Oryzias latipes: one gene and its partner. The protein of the gene in region 1 interacts with the protein of each later gene in a pairwise test. Links are inferred from orthologs where the notes say so. Each region holds a gene or a part of one and is shown in the gene's direction. Other genes may lie near its edges.

What was found. The genes of interacting proteins can lie anywhere in the genome.
Region 2: the proteins of siah1 (region 1) and upp2 interact in binary tests that used the Homo sapiens proteins (3 or more experiments, as listed by UniProt). The two-hybrid records come from large-scale screens. The link is inferred for Oryzias latipes from reciprocal best matches to the Homo sapiens genes SIAH1 and UPP2.

The regions. Positions count from the first base shown.
Region 1 is NC_019864.2:25,286,464-25,290,213, reverse strand, and holds the start of siah1 (E3 ubiquitin-protein ligase SIAH1), read left to right. Parts: upstream 1-958; 5' UTR 959-1,881; coding exon 1,882-1,999; intron 2,000-3,508; coding exon 3,509-3,565; intron 3,566-3,750. UniProt on the Homo sapiens protein: E3 ubiquitin-protein ligase that mediates ubiquitination and subsequent proteasomal degradation of target proteins.
Region 2 is NC_019879.2:20,678,804-20,682,518, forward strand, and holds upp2 (uridine phosphorylase 2), read left to right. Parts: upstream 1-1,157; 5' UTR 1,158-1,429; coding exon 1,430-1,482; intron 1,483-1,563; coding exon 1,564-1,678; intron 1,679-1,768; coding exon 1,769-1,927; intron 1,928-2,048; coding exon 2,049-2,163; intron 2,164-2,309; coding exon 2,310-2,519; intron 2,520-2,609; coding exon 2,610-2,756; intron 2,757-2,838; coding exon 2,839-2,981; 3' UTR 2,982-3,190; downstream 3,191-3,715. Other genes in the region: uncharacterized protein C7orf57 homolog, read left to right, coding at 299-383; ccdc148 (coiled-coil domain-containing protein 148), read right to left, coding at 3,559-3,702. UniProt on the Homo sapiens protein: Catalyzes the reversible phosphorylytic cleavage of uridine to uracil and ribose-1-phosphate which can then be utilized as carbon and energy sources or in the rescue of pyrimidine bases for nucleotide synthesis.

The DNA.
Region 1 (3,750 bases):
TCTGTGTCTGGGTACCAAGTGACCCTTTGCCCAGAAGAGACCCCCAACCTAAGGAGTCAGGTTGTTCCTATGAGTGGTCTGGTCGAGGGAACAGCTGATGTTCTACAGAGTTCTCCGGTCCTGCTGGAACTTTATGAAAACTTGCTGTGTCGATGACATTTAGTCCCTTTTGTGCTTCTTTTTTTTTGTATATTAGCTTAAGAGCTGAATTTGTAAAAAGAGTTGGCACGTTCAAAAAGCTTTTTTAGATTAAGCTAATGCAGTCTTGTTAAAAGTATTACTTAAAATCAGAATTCAGGGTTTCTGCGTTGGCATAAAGGAAACTTTAATGTGCACTGAAGCCAAGATGTTAAGATGTAGCAGGAGAATTGTTTTCTCACAACACTGTCTGCTAGCCACTGGCAGGTTTGACTGCAGACCTCCCAAAAACTGCTGCCTGAACATCCAGACAGAGATTTTGAAAGCAGACACGCTCCGTCTTTGATGCAGCTGCAGACGTGTTTGATCTCTTATCAGATTTGTGAAAATAACTGAGTCTGAGGGGGCGAAAAAATCCTTCCGGCTTAGCATACGGTGGGCAAGGAATTCCACAGATTTGGTCCATGTGGAAATGAAGCACAAAGAAAAGCTTCTCCTCTTTGTCCTCTCGTGAGCAGATGTTGACTCTGGGATGTGCTGCATCTTCAGCATCGATGCTCCGAACGGTAAACGCTGAGCGAGCTTTTCACATACCTAGAGTGCTTCTCAAAAACAGGAAGAGCACTTTGAGAAGGTGAGACGCTGCTGTAGAGTGTGTAAGTAAGTTATGCTGAAGAGCAAATGTGAGCCAGAGAACGCAGCCCTGTGTTCTCTGGCTCACATTTAAAACGTGGACAGAGGAGAAACGGGCTGCACTAAAGGAGAAAGGAGGTATGAAGTCAGAGGGGTCAGCTGGTGCTGCAGCTTACAGCTATACCAGCTGAAATCTGAGACTTGCACAACCACAGTGAGGCGGAGGGAGGGGGCAGAGGGAGGAAGAATGTCCAGCCTGGAGAAAGAAGGCAAACTGCAGGCTTTCAGAGGACACGAGGCTGCAGGAGCAGCAGGGAGATGCAGCTGGAGCTGAGCTGAGACATGTGAGGGCTGAGCCTGCAGAGACAAAGATAAAGACTCGCGCTGGATGCGGACTTTAGCTCTGTGTTTCAGACAAACACAGCCAGTGGCGCTGACACCGACCACGCTCCCCAGGACAAAGAACATCACTGAAATCCAAACCGAGAAGAAAGTGAAGGGGGAGACTTCACACTGGATTTTTTTCTTCTTCTTTCATTTCCTCTCGGGGAGCCAAGGTTAGGTTTCTGAGCTGGGGCTCTCTTGTTTTGAGGATTTTTCTTTTGCAAACTTGCACTTTTTTTTGACTCCTCTTTCTATACCTGCTAACCAACCGCCCCGTGGAATGTCAAATAGTTCCTGAGTGGAGAAACTGGATAATTACCCAGTGTTGGTGAAGCTCTAATGACTCTCCTAAACTGCCTCCCGTTTCCTGTGCAGACTGGCGAGTTGATTAACCCTTTAGCCTGCCTGGCTGCTGTCCGGGCTCCTTCTGTTGCTTCTGCAGTGGAGTCGCTCAAACACCCTGGACTCTGACGTTTTCCCGCTGTTAAGGATCTGCTGGTGTTTGTTTGGACACAACCCTCGTTCTGGATCTGCTGCAGAACTCCAGCCGCTCAGAAGCTTGTACTTTCCAAGGGGAGAGGGGTGGGGGCGGGGGCGGGGGTGGCAGGAGGGGAAATATGATCCAGTATTTGGAGGAATGCGTAGAGCTCCAGCAGCAGTGTGTGGTTTCCATGGAAAAGGCCTGAGCAGCGTGGCACAGAGGGGCTGCATACATGCTTTACCTCTATGTCTGTGGTCCAAGTGAAATCCAAGCAGACAAGTGTAGCTCCACAAGCTCCACCCTGGAACTCCCTGTTCAGGCTGCTCTCATGCGTAGCAACCAGGAATGTGCACAACACTAAAGGTGAAGCGCGTCGATCCTCACCAGCTCCATGTTTCTGCCCAAGGTGGCTTGAATTGGCACTTTGTGTGCAGGGGGCCGTGTTGGCACACCGATGCTGTGCGTGACGTGGGCGAGCACAGAAGATGCTTTTAACCGTTTCCCTGCGTACATTATGTTGCACTGTTTTAACGTGGATTAACGTTTGTGTTGAATCCCCCTTCACCTGTCCTGATGTTCCTCTGTTTAGTTTTGTCATTCAGGATATTTAATTTCTTATCATAGAAGAGAAAAGGGAACGACGGGAATGTTTTCTTCACAAATAGCACTTTTGAACATTTATTAAAACTAATTTGCTTTTTAAATATTCATTTTGTGTGTTTATGTTTTGGTCCTTTAAGGGCCTATACCAGGCTCTTCTTAAGCCTTTTATAGTAAAAAATATATATATCCATGTATATGATGATATATTTTGGGACACAAAAGAACATTTCTTTTAAAATTAAATATTAGTTATTTTCCTGAGTTCTTTTCCAATCAGGAAGTAGGACGACTCCATCTCTGAGGCTCCGCCTCTCGCTCTGTGATGCACAAAAGATGTTCTTGTTTTCTGTCAAAAGATTCATCACATAGTTGAAGGATTCAATATATACAAAAAAATGTACAATTTGTATTTACTCAACATTGTATTTAGGTTTCTGCTTGGTTTCTTAAATAACATCAATTAAAAATAATAATAATTTCCAATCTTTTGAGAAAAATATCCAATCTCTTAATTAATGAAACTATTTCTAGATTATATTTCTTCAGCTTCTAAAAGGGAAATGGTTTTCTTTTGCGATGCGTTTAAAGATTGTTGAGCCTCCATGAGGTTCATGGAGGCAGAAGCTGTTGGTGAAACAGACTTTTTGGTCTGTTTGCAACCAAACCATTGGCAGAACAAAGACAGGAAGATGTTTATGGTTTATGGTTTCCTTCATCGTTGGTGTTCACCTTCACGCCCCGAACCATCGATGGTCTTATCCGTCTACCTGTTCCCACACCGTAGCCCTGTTTTCTGCCTATGTTTGTAGACGAGACGGTTTATGTGGAGATGAATTTTTAGTTTCAAAAAGCAGCTTCCTGTGTTTGCGAGTTCTGTTTCCACACAGAAGGAGACATTGTACGTCGTTTTAACAGAAACCTCAAATCAAATGTGATGCAATCGTGTCCAGGAATAATTTGCTTTGTGTAGATTTTGTTCAGCTGAAGACAAACGGGTTTCACTCGTCAACCTTTAGTCCAGAAATGGACCAGACTTACTGAAATATGAATGAGTGGCTCTGCAGCAAAGCGTCCACACAGCAGAAATCTAAAGTGAGCACGCTCTGTGTCCTGCCCATCAAACACCGCCTCGGCGCCATCCGGCCCTCACGTCTGCCGGAACATCACAACAATCCGAGCCCACTTCTGTGTCTGACTGGAGAACAAAGCAGAACGTTCAGAACCAGCCTGTCGGGTTCTCATGTGCACTTCCTTTGTTTTCTCTTTCAGAGGTCCAAACATTTCAGGAGCAGACAGAAGCCTTATTTGGAAATCTTATGGACGAAGGTCAGTCTGTCTTGTCTGTCAATCTGTCTGTCTGTCTGTGTCTGAGTGGATCTGTTGGGGATTTGCTTTACATTTACAGGATCGATGGCAGCTTTGTTGGTTTTCCCATGTCTGCTGTAGTTTTGTGTGTGTGGGCTCAGACCTTTCTGTCGGGCTGATCAGCCGTCCCGCTGCAGGGCCCGGCC
Region 2 (3,715 bases), on another chromosome or scaffold:
AAAAACAGTTTTGGATTAGTGAAAGGAACAACTCATGTTTGATGTTTAAACTGTAACCACTGTAGTCTTTTTGGCCACAGTTCTTTAGATAATTATTTATATTTTGAAATGACTAAATATTTCCACTGATTTAATTTACATAAAAAGGCAAAAAGTGGATTTTCTATACAATTTTGAACGACTAGTTCAATAAAGTTCATAGTGCTTGTATTACACCTAGATATGTGAAAAAACAGAACCGTGTCTGATAATAGAAGAACCTAAGAAGTCAATTTGAAATGACTTTCTGCTTTTTCAGAGTGTTTGACAAGAAGCCGGCACCTGTTGACATGTCTAAGCTTCTGAGTTTTGGCTATGCTGAAGCCAACAGCCCAATCCAATGATGCAAGTAAGGAGCCCTAAACACCCCAAAACACTGTCATTTCTTTTTGCTAATCACGCTTTCAGTGCTGTAAAAAAGAAACAGACACAGATTACTGAGCAGTATAAACAAATAGCCAATAAAATGACTATAATTTCAGCTCTCTGCGATTTCTAAACCTCTTGATGTAAAGATATTGGTGAATTATGCTGTAAAGGCGAAGTTAATGATTTTTGCTCTGCTTCATTTTATCCTCAACAGTCTGGAGGTCTGCCAGATCCAAAACCACGCCGTCTTCTCCTATGACATTCATGTCTGTTCCTCTTTCTCGTTAAGTCCCGTCAAATATTGTACCGGCATTTCTTAGAGGATTAAGGTTGTCGACTGACTCAGCAGCATTTGCGCTGTTTGTCTCATCTGCTTTGCCTTGTTACTAAAGATGCTGAATGTGTTATATTTTTAGCTGGATTGTTCCGGTTTGCAGAAAATTTCAAATAAAGTTCTAAAGATTTGGAATTTCGTCTTTCTGTGCTTTCATGCGTGTGCACTCTGTGTGATCAGTGCTTGTTTGTTCATTTCACTTTGTGAGCATGTCAATGTTTTGGAGGATTTGCCAAATGTCTGCAAACTCAATCGCAGGTCATCTGCCTGTTCTCTTGGTCAGTTATGTCAAATCACGTCAGATATCCTCTCGCCTCCTATTGACTTATGTCAGGACATTACACACTTTCCTAACATGTATGTAATCTTTAACCTTAGCAGTATTTATATGGGATGTGGGGTTTCCAATTGCAGCGGTTTTTAAATCACTTTTTACCTTGTGCAAATATTTTTTGTTGTAGCTTTTGCTCTGTTTGTTTGGAGCCGGTACATTTTAATCAGGGCGGGGACCGCTGACTACTCCTCTCTACACAACCAATCAGCTGTTGGGTCAAGAGTCACAAGTATATTAAGTCAGCCGTTAAAACTGTCTCTTGATTGAAAAGGCACACAGACAGGGGCTCAGATTTTGCATAGACTGGTAAAAGCATTTTTTTTAAAAACCTTTGCTTGAAAGCATCTCCTGCCATGGCACTGATTCTTCTGAACCGCTTGGGAAAAGACCACAAGGATTACATCAAGTAAGTAAAGGATTAAGTGAGATTGTGATATTTTTTCAAATATACTTGTGAACGTCTATTTATCCAGAACATCACTCTCAGACAACAGGTCCATGTCAAAAATCCTTATCTTGACACCATGGAGGAGGACATTCTGTACCACTTCAGCCTGAGCACTAAGACTCACAACCTCCCAGAAATGTTTGGAGATATCAAAGTTTGTAAAAGAGTTCTATGTTAAGCCTAAATCTTCTGAGACGAGAAGAGAAACCGGAGTTTAATTGTTCTTTTGTTGCTGTTTCTGTAGTTTGTGTGTGTTGGTGGAAGCGCAAATCGAATGAAGGCTTTTGCCCACTTCATCCACCAAGACCTACACATTCCTGGAAACCCAGACGACATCCGGGATATCTGCGAGGGCACTGATCGCTACTCCATGTACAAAGTGGGGCCAGTACTCTCTATAAGTGTAAGTATGTCCATGCTTACAGGAACGATCTACCTATTTGCTGATTTGTAGGCTTATTATTTGCGTACGAACTGAGAGTTTTATGGCTGTTGAGTTGATTTACTGCATTTTGACGTGACAGCATGGCATGGGCGTCCCATCCATCTCAATCATGCTGCATGAGCTCATCAAGCTGCTGCATCATGCTCGGTGCCAGGATGTGGTTTTGTTTCGTCTGGGAACATCCGGAGGAGTCGGTATGTTTTTTTTAATTTTTTTATTAAAAGTACCAGTAAACCTAGCATTTATGTCTATATGTCAAATTTACTGCATGTCTATTGTAGATGGAACTTGGGTTTGGCAAAAAATGAGAAAATAAATAAGCAGTTGCCGTCTTGTCCAGGTTTAAATCCAGGGACGGTGGTAATAACAGATAAAGCAGTGGACTACTCTTTCTGCCCCCAATTTGAACAAGTGGTTCTGGGTAAGGTCATCACCAGGAGTACAGAGTTGGACGAAGAGGTGGCCAGTGAGCTTCTGCAGTATGCCTCTGAACTTCAGAGCTTTCCAACTGTTATTGGAAAGACCATGTGCACCCATGACTTCTATGAAGGTACTGAAAAAAAACTGTTTTTATTTCAGTCCCATTTGGGAATAAGTCTCCCGCCCCTTTACTAACAAGTCAATCTCTGTGGCTCTCCAGGTCAGGGCCGGCTTGATGGAGCTCTCTGCTCTTTCTCTCATGAGGAGAAACTGGAGTATCTAAGGAAAGCTTATGAGGCTGGAGTGAGAAACATCGAGATGGAGTCCACCGTCTTTGCTGCCATGTGCCGGGTCTGTGGCCTCAAAGGTAAAACTCCTGTGCAGTTTTTGTTTGTACATGATCTGAACAGCATGACAACTGACCTATCACTGATCCTTCCCCCCCTCAGCTGCTGTGGTCTGTGTCACGTTACTGAACCGCTTTGAAGGAGATCAGATCACCTCTTCTCATGAGGTTCTGGTGGAGTACCAGCAGAGACCTCAAATCCTGGTGGCTTACTTCATCAAGAAACGCCTCGGACTTATTCCCTGAAGCCCCAGATATTTAAACAGCTGTAAATATGTAACATTTAAAAATGTAAATACACACAACAAAAATTGATTAGTGATACTTGAAATGGGCACCTATTTAAGTTTTAAGAGTTTAAATGATTTGTTTAATAAGCCAAATATATTGGATTTATTAGATGTTATTTTAAATCCTTTGATATTTATGAAAGCAAATAAAAATCTGCAAAAAGATTTTATGTTGCCTGGTTTCTATGACTACAAAGGTTGTAAACTGCACATAGACCACAAACACAACAAACATAAAATAAACTTGATTCATTCCTGAATTAACTTTATTTAGAGTTCTAACATTTAGTAAAACAAACTGTTCAGTAAAACTGGATTGAGAGGACCATGCATCTCAAATATAAGTTTTAAAATAAACATGTCCAGTATCTGAGCACGAAACGAAAATCACTTGTTGGGCAGCTGCACTGCTTTTTTATGATAAATGAACAGAGCTTATCTGTGGGTTTTCCCACACTAAATAAAATAAATGTGTGTAAATACTGAATGCACAGAGCCAAGACAGGTTCAGACTTGACTTAAATACAAAATGATCAAAACTTAAACATGGATTTGGTGTCTCGTCGAGGCGGCTTGAGAGGTTTGATTTCAGACAGAACCTTTGTGGCGTAATGACTTTGGTGCAGTCCAGCCTCCCGCAGAGCCTGCTCGACCCGCACTCTCGGATCAGACACAATCTGTAAAACAGAC